Drosophila melanogaster: one gene and its partner. The gene in region 2 interacts genetically with the main gene of each other region. Each region holds a gene or a part of one and is shown on either strand. Other genes may lie near its edges.

Region 1 (4,096 bases), on a different chromosome or scaffold from region 2:
GCACATTGCTCGGCCAACTTAAGTCGAAACCACTAAGCCCTTAATATGTGTAAATATTCGACAATTCGCCGATACCTTCCACTAACTGAATAGATATCAATTCCACTATAAAAAGTGAATGGCTTGATATCGGGCCAGTTACTCCGTTTGCAATGGTAGACCAACACTTAATCGTGGCCAAGATCGTGGCCATAGTGGTGCTCTTCCTCGTTACCCTGATCTTCTGCTTTATTCCCTATCTTCTGGATCGCTTCTACAAGTGGACCCAGAGGCCCGAGAACAATGCTCGCGAATTCAAAGTGGTGCTGTGTCTGCTTAATTTCGGTGGAGGGGTTCTCATAGCCACCACCTTCATCCACATGCTGCCGGAGGTGGTCGAGGTGGTGAACGCTCTCCAGGACTGCCGCATGCTGGCCCCCACTCCCTTCGGCCTGCCGGAGGTTCTGCTCTGCACTGGCTTCTATCTGATGTACTGCATTGAGGAAACCATGCACTTTGTGGTTCGTCGGCGGCAGCAAAGGAAGCTACGGGAGGTGGTCACGATCAAGGATGCGGGCGAGGAGCTGCGGACAGAGATTGTGGTCCAGCCAGAAGAAAGCCCCAAGGAGCCCAACTGGCTGCGTGGCCTCGGAATAATCGTGGCCCTCTCCCTGCACGAACTCTTCGGCGGCATGGCCATTGGCCTGGAGATGAGTGTGAGCACGGTGTGGTTCATGACCGGAGCCATTTCCGTCCACAAGCTTGTTCTGGCCTTCTGCATCGGCATGGAGATCATGATGGCCCATACCCGCTGGCTGCTGGCCGTGGTTTACCTCCTCGTCTTCTCGATCGTAACTCCGATTGGCGTGGGCATCGGAATTGCAGTTAGCGAATCTGCCGCGGCTAATCAGCCCAGCACGGTATCAGGAATCCTCCAGGGGCTGGCCTGTGGCACCCTCATCTACGTGGTCTTCTTTGAAATTGTGGCCAAAAACCATGCCGGCATACGCATTTTACTCTCGTCGATGGTGGGATTCGTCCTGATGTTTGGCCTCCAGATAGCAAGTAAGCATACTAAAAAGCCCAAATGACTGAAAAACCAAATTACCACTCTTATTATTTCAGTTGGAGAGGCCAAAGGGAAGAGCCATTTCACATGCCCCTAGGGTATACTCGAATTTTATATGAAAACAATTAAGCCTATAGAGAAATTCAAAGAAACTACCGAAAAATAAAGCGTGGGCTTTTTGGCTTTATAAATATGGGGAAAGAGGACGGCAAGGTCAGGTCATCGACCATGAGATACCCTTTAAACGCCCTTCTGCGAGGGAAATTTATAAGTGGCATCAACAAAAGGACATTCTCCGAGTGCGCACATTAGCTCCACCTACCGGTTGCTACATACTAATTACCAAATTGCCCATAACTTTTAAATAAATGATCCGATTCGAACAACTTTTGGCATGGAAGTTTCTGCATTTATCACACCTTTATTTTGATAAATGTAAATTTATTTTATAAACAAATTTAGTAAAATTAAAAAACAAGCGTGGCGAAATCATCTGATCCTGGTCAAGAATATTTACATATATGGCTAGAATCTTTTTAACTTTTTAAAAAATGTGCTGCGATTTTAATTCCATGCCTGCAATCCTTACCATATAAACCTAAGATGAGACCGCCTTGGATGGACAAATAAATTATCTCAGTGTATCAATAATAATAATATTCGGGAAATACTTCCGAAGTTCCTGCACATTACGAAACTTCCCTCAATCATAAAATTCGCAAAGAACAGACGGCTATGGTTCGGTTATCGGTGGGCCGACGAGAGACACCTGTCCAGGGGACGGCGAATTGATAACAATACTAGGCTGCGAGGCTTGCCCGCTGTCTGCCAGTGAATCCGCGTATCAATCAGCGATCAGATTTCAATCGGCTCCCGCTGATATATGACTGGAAATATAAACCATTAGCCTGGTTGTGAGTTCCAGCCAGCACAGTCGAAGCTATCAACTCGGGAGGTGAAGATGAGCGCTACCGCAACTATGTCACAAGAGCAAACGCAAGACGTGGATCACCATGCGCTGCTGGTGGCCAAAATAGTTTCCATGGTGGTGCTCGTGGTGATCACCGTGCTTTGCGGCAGCCTTCCCTACGTCCTGAACAGGTGCTTCCATTGGACGAAGGCGAGTCCGGAGGAAACCCGCTCGTCATTGGTGGTGCGGTGCCTACTCTTTTTCGGCGGCGGTGTGCTCATCTGCACCACCTTCCTGCACATGCTGCCCGAGGTGATCGAGGTGGTGGAAGCGCTCCAGGAATGCGGCTCGCTTGTCAAGACGCCCTTCGCTCTGGCGGAGATGCTGCTGTGCACGGGCTTTTTCCTGATGTACGCGTTGGACGAGCTGATGACCAGCCTCGTGCGGCACCACCAGGGAAAGCTTAGTCGGAAAGAGTCGGTGGCCAGTCTGGCTTTCGAAAGAGGACGCAGCATTCGTCACAGTGTTCTCCTCAATCCACAGGCGAAGGAAGAAGTGGAAGTTAAGGATACGGAACCGCAGCCACACAAGGATCACCACGGCCACTCGCACATGCCCGTGCCAGCGGACGATGGATCCTCTGCCAGGGGGCTGGGCATTATCCTCGCCCTTTCGCTCCACGAACTGTTCGAGGGCATGGCCATTGGTCTGGAGGGCACTGTGAGCACTGTGTGGTTCATGTTTGGAGCGGTCTCCGCCCACAAGTTGGTGTTGGCCTTCTGCGTGGGTATGGAGCTTCTGGTCGCCCGCACACGCAGTTCGCTGGCCATCTTGTACCTGGTGACATTCTCCATTGTTACACCCATCGGTATCGGTGTTGGCCTCGGCATCAGCCAGCAGGTGGCAGCGGGTCAGCCCAGTCTGCCATCCGGAGTCCTCCAGGGCATCGCCTGTGGAACCTTGCTGTACGTAGTCTTCTTTGAGATCCTCATTGAGAGCCATGCCGGATGGAGGGCCCTTGTGGCCGCCGTTGCGGGATTCGCTCTAATGTTTGGCCTTCAAATTCTTTGTGAGTTACAACTGTTTGACATTAACGGTAGGACCGGCTTTTTAGCTTCCATTTCTACTTTTTGTCTCTTTTACAGCTGACGAAGCGGAGGGTGATGACAGCCTAACCTGTTCCTAGCCAGTGTGACGCCACTTCAGTATTATCAAGTTATAGAGGAAGCAACAAAATAGTATACAAAACGATTCCCTGGGGATCTGTAAAAGTTATTATATAAAATACGAATAGAATTTCAAAAGAGGTTTCTCAGAAATCTTATCCAACGCAAATAATTAAAAATGTAATAACCATATGGATTAAAAGAGACAATATTTTACTTTATATTCAGCTAGTGAGGCTCTTTAAGCTTTTTATAAATTTTAATATATTACGTATAAGAGCGTCTATCCAAATATTTTAATCACCTCTTCATAAATTAGTTTGATCTTACTGCGCGTACGCTTCATAACCAACATTATCGATAAAGTTGGCGGTTCATTCTCATTAACAGAGGGCTTAATCGAACATCTGTGGGGTAACGTAACAGTGTTTCACGCTAACAGTACCCAAACAACATTATTCGCGCGCGGGCACTATCGATAACTTCATATCGCATTAAAATTACAATTGTTTAACTTTCTTAGGTAAGCAGCAACTGTTAATATTTAATGGGAATCATGTTGTAAGTCGCTGTAACTCTGTTTTCTGAAACTACAACTTTTCCATATTTCGATACATGCTATCGAAATTTCCACCCTCGACGGGCTGCATTAACAGCCGCTGTTACGGCAACGGTCAGATGATGTTCCAATTGGAGTGCGAACGGACGTGTGGTGCTAGTGTGGTGGACTATACGACTTTTCTATATTTTTAAGGGCCGCGGCAGTAGAGATAGCCTATTTTTCTCGCGACAGAGCGTGTTAAGTAATCAATTGAAATCCAGCGATTGGGTGAATCGAAAGTTCCTCCCCGATTCCCGACTCCTGCGTGCATTTGAAGCACTTACAGCCGCGATTTCCGCACTCGGGTGCACTGTGCTTTTGTTTATACGACCTCCGGTCGCCCCACATTTTCTGTTGAACTTGTGCCGCCG
Region 2 (5,212 bases):
AAATCAATTGCCAACTTTTGCAGCGTCACTATCCCGATGACCTTGAAGTGCCCCCAACTCACCCCTCTTGAAGTGCTTTTGCGGCAGGGCCATTTTGTTAACAATTTTAAAATAATTCCCAAGACGTGAAATGTTGGTGGCAAAGTAGTTCCGATCGACTGACAACAAATAGAGGGATTCCGGTACCTTATAAAGTGGTCGCAGTCGCCGGACGAGTGAATTTATCGAATATATTTCGATTGTTGAGCGGGTGAATTTAAAATTCTTAAGCTCATATTTAAGAAAATTGTTTGACCACATATTAAAGACTACAAACGACTACTCTAAGATAAGTATTTTCATATCCATTTATCATTCATACCTTCATTAATCTAATTCTAAAACAAACGTACTTACAACCCGTATAAACAATGAAAATGCAAAGATTTATTTTTCAATCACAATAATGCTGCCGTAGTAGGTACATGTGTTACATGTTATATGTGCAAAAGGTACAATGCTGAAGTGGAAACGCCATCATCCCGTAGACTACCCCAATTTGACACGTTTGGCCTCATTGCTAGAAACGAGAAATGGATCAGTCACACATTATATGTATAATCTTCAAATCTTACTATAGCATATTATAATCGGCCTGGCCCGATCGCCGGGAGTTCATGTATTTGGCATGGGTCTGTCCATCCAGATAGAAACACTTGACAGCACGATCCTGGATCATCAAGTCGCGCCACTTAATCTGCAGTAGAACAATCTCGGTAATTTAAAAGACATAATTAGAAAACCAATAGGACCCACCAAAGTGGGAAAACGTTCCGGACTCAATTCGAATTTTTGTTCAAAAGTGTATTTCAGAGAGTCAAAGCGCTCGCACCAGGGCCACATCATGTAGTCAAGCATGCCTGGGCTGTCGCCACCAAAGAACTTGGTACAACGTCGCTTCAGTTCCTCCTCATAAACGACCAATCCGGCATAGTGATCGGTGTCAACCAGCTGCTCGGGATTGTCGTGCAGCAACAGGTAGTAGAAGGCATTGATGAACTGTCCGAAACGTTCGATTAAAATCTTCTCCTGGGCTTTTTTAAGCAGATCCTTGGGATACAATGGCACCTCCGGATACTTTTCGTCCAAGTAGTCACAAATAATGAGCGACTCGATCAGCACAGGATTTCCCTGTTCCTTGACCAGCTCCAGTGCCGGCACCTTTGTGGAGCTGCTCACCAGGGAGAACCACTCGGGTTTGTCGCGAAGATTGATGTAGATAGCGTGGTAGGGAATCTTTTTGGCATCCAGGACCAGGTGCACACGGTGTGCATAGGGGCAAAAGCGCATCGAATACAGCTTTAAGATCCCATCATCCGGAAATACGGGCTTTGGCGAGCCTGCAATATATATGCGCCTTTTAAATGTGAATTTGGAACTTAGTAACTTATACTAACCAATAGTTAAGTGCTGAGTATTGCTCATATTGGCAATACAATTTTTTCTGGAAAGGAACACAACCTGTTTTGCGGGTTATGACAATTATCGATATTTGACAGTAAACGTTAAGGTGGCTCGATAACGTATTGTCTTTTTACAGGATTGATGTATTTTTAATCAATTATTATTTAATCGGTTTAAAAAAATCTATCTTAATCTTAAATATTAATTTTTACAACTTTAATTTTTTTAAATATAATTCAGTCATCTATTCATCTATTATTTAGGACTTTAATTTCAATAATTTATGGTTATATATCCATAATAGACTATTTGCATCACTGCTCCAAATACATATTGTATATACATAATTAATCTAAAATCAATTTATATTTATCGTTTTTAATATTTGCTGCAAGAGGTTACATTGATCGCCATCGATGTGTAGCGTTGATAGCAACGGAACACCGATACCTATCGCGGATGATTCGGTGTTTTTCCACATCCCTACCGCCTATCGATAATTGTTATAACAAAATTGTTTTAGTTGCGGATTTCTTGTGTTTGGCGGTGTGAGCGAAAGAGAGATGGCTGCTGCGGCATATGTTTAGCGTGTCCGGAAAATGTTTACAGTAAGCTCGCCCTTGCGTAACTGAGCCCGTGTTGGTGTTGGTGGCCGCATCCCGTACTCCGTATCCCGTGCAAATCTCGCCGCTCCATGCGGACTCGCTTCGATTCGATTTCCCGTGCCAAACCGAGATTATTGCAACGTAATTGACACTCGGCGTAATCTCTACGGCCTCTTTCATTCACGCCCACCGCATCGGCAAAAGCTATAGCTCCCAGAATCGTCCAGCATTATCTTCGATCCCGCAATAACTCTAGTGGGAATTGTGTGAGTGTGTGTTACAGTGTGCGATGTGCTAAACAGTCCGGCAAATTTACGGGTGAGTTAGTAGTGGGCTTGCATTAATTATTCGCCTTTGTTTAATCTTGGCATAAGTTCGTTCAGAATGGAAAGTGCATGCGACGCGCCCCCATTCCACCTCCCACCGCCCAAAATCCACCCACCACCACCCACTCGTATTTATTTATAGCGGGACATTTCCATGTGCGTGTGATTTTGACACCCGCTCACTTACATCCATATGTATTTGTTGTACACACACATACGCAGATGCACACGTAACTACACTGATATTCAGCACGTTTTTATGCTATTTTCGATCGACATCATCAATGTGTTCTATACATAATTCAGCGCAATTCTGATACCATTTCCATGCTCGCTATCTTCAGAGCCTAATTACGCAAAATCAATGGAATTAGTGTTATCAAACGGGCCAGAATGCTTATCATCCACTGGCGGGGCTAGATAAGATTTCAAGGGGGAAGACAACGTGGATGAGTCTTCACATCGCGTATGCTTTATCTCTAGCATTCTCTCTATTTAAATCAATAGACTTATCCAAACGATCATAGTTACAATTACAATCCACGTGTTCGACGTACACAGCTTACATTTTGCGTAAATAAATACTCTTATCACCTTACACATAACGTCATTAGATTTTATATTTGTATTGCGCATTGAGGGATATGAAATATTTAAGTTGTATTCCGGATGCGTAACCCCCTTTGGAAGCCGTCACTGTTATCGCCACTGACCCATATATCAACATGTGTTCCTTTCGCACTTTTGGCTGCCTTCCACATAGTTCTGTTGTTTTTGTCTTTTTTTTTTTAGAAGTGTAGGTGGTGCATGAATCATAGATAGTGGTGCCGGTGGTGGCCAAAAGGGAAGCATCCTTATCGGGCGCGAACTTTTCCATTTCTCCGCCAAACGCCCGCCGCCAATCAATTATTCATGAGCCAGCGTAATTTGCAAAAATTGATATGTATATTTGCAAATAAAAAAAAATGCAATATCAGCTATGAATGCCTTGCAACCAGGCGCCAACAACTGAGGCAGCCAACCATTTCAGCAACCAACAACTCAATACGGAAAACAAACGTTTCTCGGCGATCCACGATCATTTCGATGCCCCCAGATGAATTATTTATCGCATATGGCCAGCCCTTCAACATCAGTTATGTGTCACTTGGTGGGTCGTACTAGCTGAATACTAAACCGGCCAGCCAGCCAGCGTACATAGTATGTAATTCAGCAGACGGCGAGCATGGCAAGGTCAGAGCCTCGTTCCGTACGGATTTGATCCAATCGGATTGGATCCGTAGCTGTCCATTCGGATTCCGAGACCGAGTCCGAATCTGAATCCGACGTGATTGACCTCAGCTTAGTCTAGTTGTGTGTACTTGGCTTCTACCCATCCAGAACTTCAGTTCCATGTGGCCATCACATGACGCGAGGTTTTTCATATCTTCCTAAACACACTGCTGAAATTTCACATCAAGCTTTGGCTTATGAAAAGGTAGAAACCAAAAAACAAAAAAAAAAAAAGATAATGCCCAAATTTGTGTGTGTATGTATGTGCTTGGATTCTTGGGTACACCTTTTCGCAGGTTATTTCGCTGAAGTTTCAGGTATGAATTTCGTGTTTGTGTTGCGGCCAAGATAAAAGATAAATTGCTCAGCAGGTAGAGAGACGATCTGGAGATGTAGATGTACGGTGGAAATTTCAGGCTAAACAAACTGTAGATTGTGCATAGTAGTTGTTCATAAATCTTGCGAGGAGTTCTACGAGTACGTTTCTAGATTTAATTTCGCAGTTTAAGGTTGTGACATGTATAAAACGAGATATTATGCAGTGTCAGGGGCCTAAAAACGTGGAGATACCATGTATGTACATATCATGTGAAATTTACTCATCAAGTTTTATCTATTGAACTTTGAGCGATCGCGTGTTCAATTTTAGGCTTTTTGTGCGGATGTCATGCGAAATTTGATTGTGCGATCGAAGCATAAAATGTGGAATGGGTTCCAGGAATTTTGAGTATATGAAATTGAGATTTAATGTGAAATTTCATGATGTTGACTCATCGAAAAGTAATCAGAACGTTTTGGAATTTCACAATTTGCGAAATGAGACCCACCCTTATCCTGAAATTTCAGCATGGAGATCTTTTGCGATGCCAAACGAATTTATGTGGAGGTTCTATGTATATGAAATTCATTTATGCTGACTCAGCTGCATAAGCTTTCCGCATCTAAAAAGGGTTACTCTGCGGAAATTTAATCCGTATGGGACAGCACTATTCGTTGGAGATATCATGCGAAATTTTGGTGTACACATGGAATTCAGAGAGCAGCGAGTTCAGTGACTTGCCGACTATACAATTACCACGAGAATTCGGAAAAAACAGACGCGTGCGATTTTCGATATGGAGATGTTATGCGAACTAAAGTCGATTCAGCAAATCTAATCGTACGTTTTTGGTACAGTAGCCTCTCGATATGTACGATTTTAAAGTGCAATTTTAAACAATAAAAACAAAGCAGTTTTTCCTAAAGTTTATTTATTTATTTATATTGAAAAAATAGTAAGTAAATTTAATAGAAGTACTAATAGTACTTTCAGATTACATTTTTTTAAAATTCTCAGACCACCAGATTGCAATGGTAAAATAATTAAATTATTGAAGGCTGGCCAAAAAATTATTTTTTTTTTAAATTAATTAGTTTGAATGGAATAAAAATAATAATACGTTGATCTGCTAAAATATTGACGTTTTAATTAGATCTTAGTTCGAACCGCATTAAGTATTTTGGCTAAGAGCTCAAAATTAAGATGGAATCATTGAGTTCTAATTTTCGTTCTCGTCGACATTGGAC

The links. Genes that interact genetically often act in the same process or in processes that back each other up.
Region 1: of foi (region 2) and Zip42C.1, changing one suppresses a phenotype caused by changing the other (phenotypic suppression), as found in Drosophila melanogaster (one study listed by BioGRID).

The regions. Positions count from the first base shown.
Region 1 is NT_033778.4:6,715,590-6,719,685, reverse strand, and holds Zip42C.1 (Zinc/iron regulated transporter-related protein 42C.1), read left to right. Parts: upstream 1-1,978; 5' UTR 1,979-2,009; coding exon 2,010-3,027; intron 3,028-3,103; coding exon 3,104-3,144; 3' UTR 3,145-3,344; downstream 3,345-4,096. Other genes in the region: Zip42C.2 (Zinc/iron regulated transporter-related protein 42C.2), read left to right, coding at 153-1,044, 1,105-1,145.
Region 2 is NT_037436.4:8,523,339-8,528,550, forward strand, and holds the start of foi (fear-of-intimacy), read left to right. Parts: upstream 1-1,905; 5' UTR 1,906-2,366; intron 2,367-5,212. Other genes in the region: GstO2 (glutathione S transferase O2), read right to left, coding at 63-93; GstO1 (glutathione S transferase O1), read right to left, coding at 529-559, 615-736, 796-1,379, 1,437-1,464. UniProt on the Drosophila melanogaster protein: Required for the normal migration of longitudinal and peripheral glial cells. During larval development, required for the migration of the subretinal glia into the eye disk.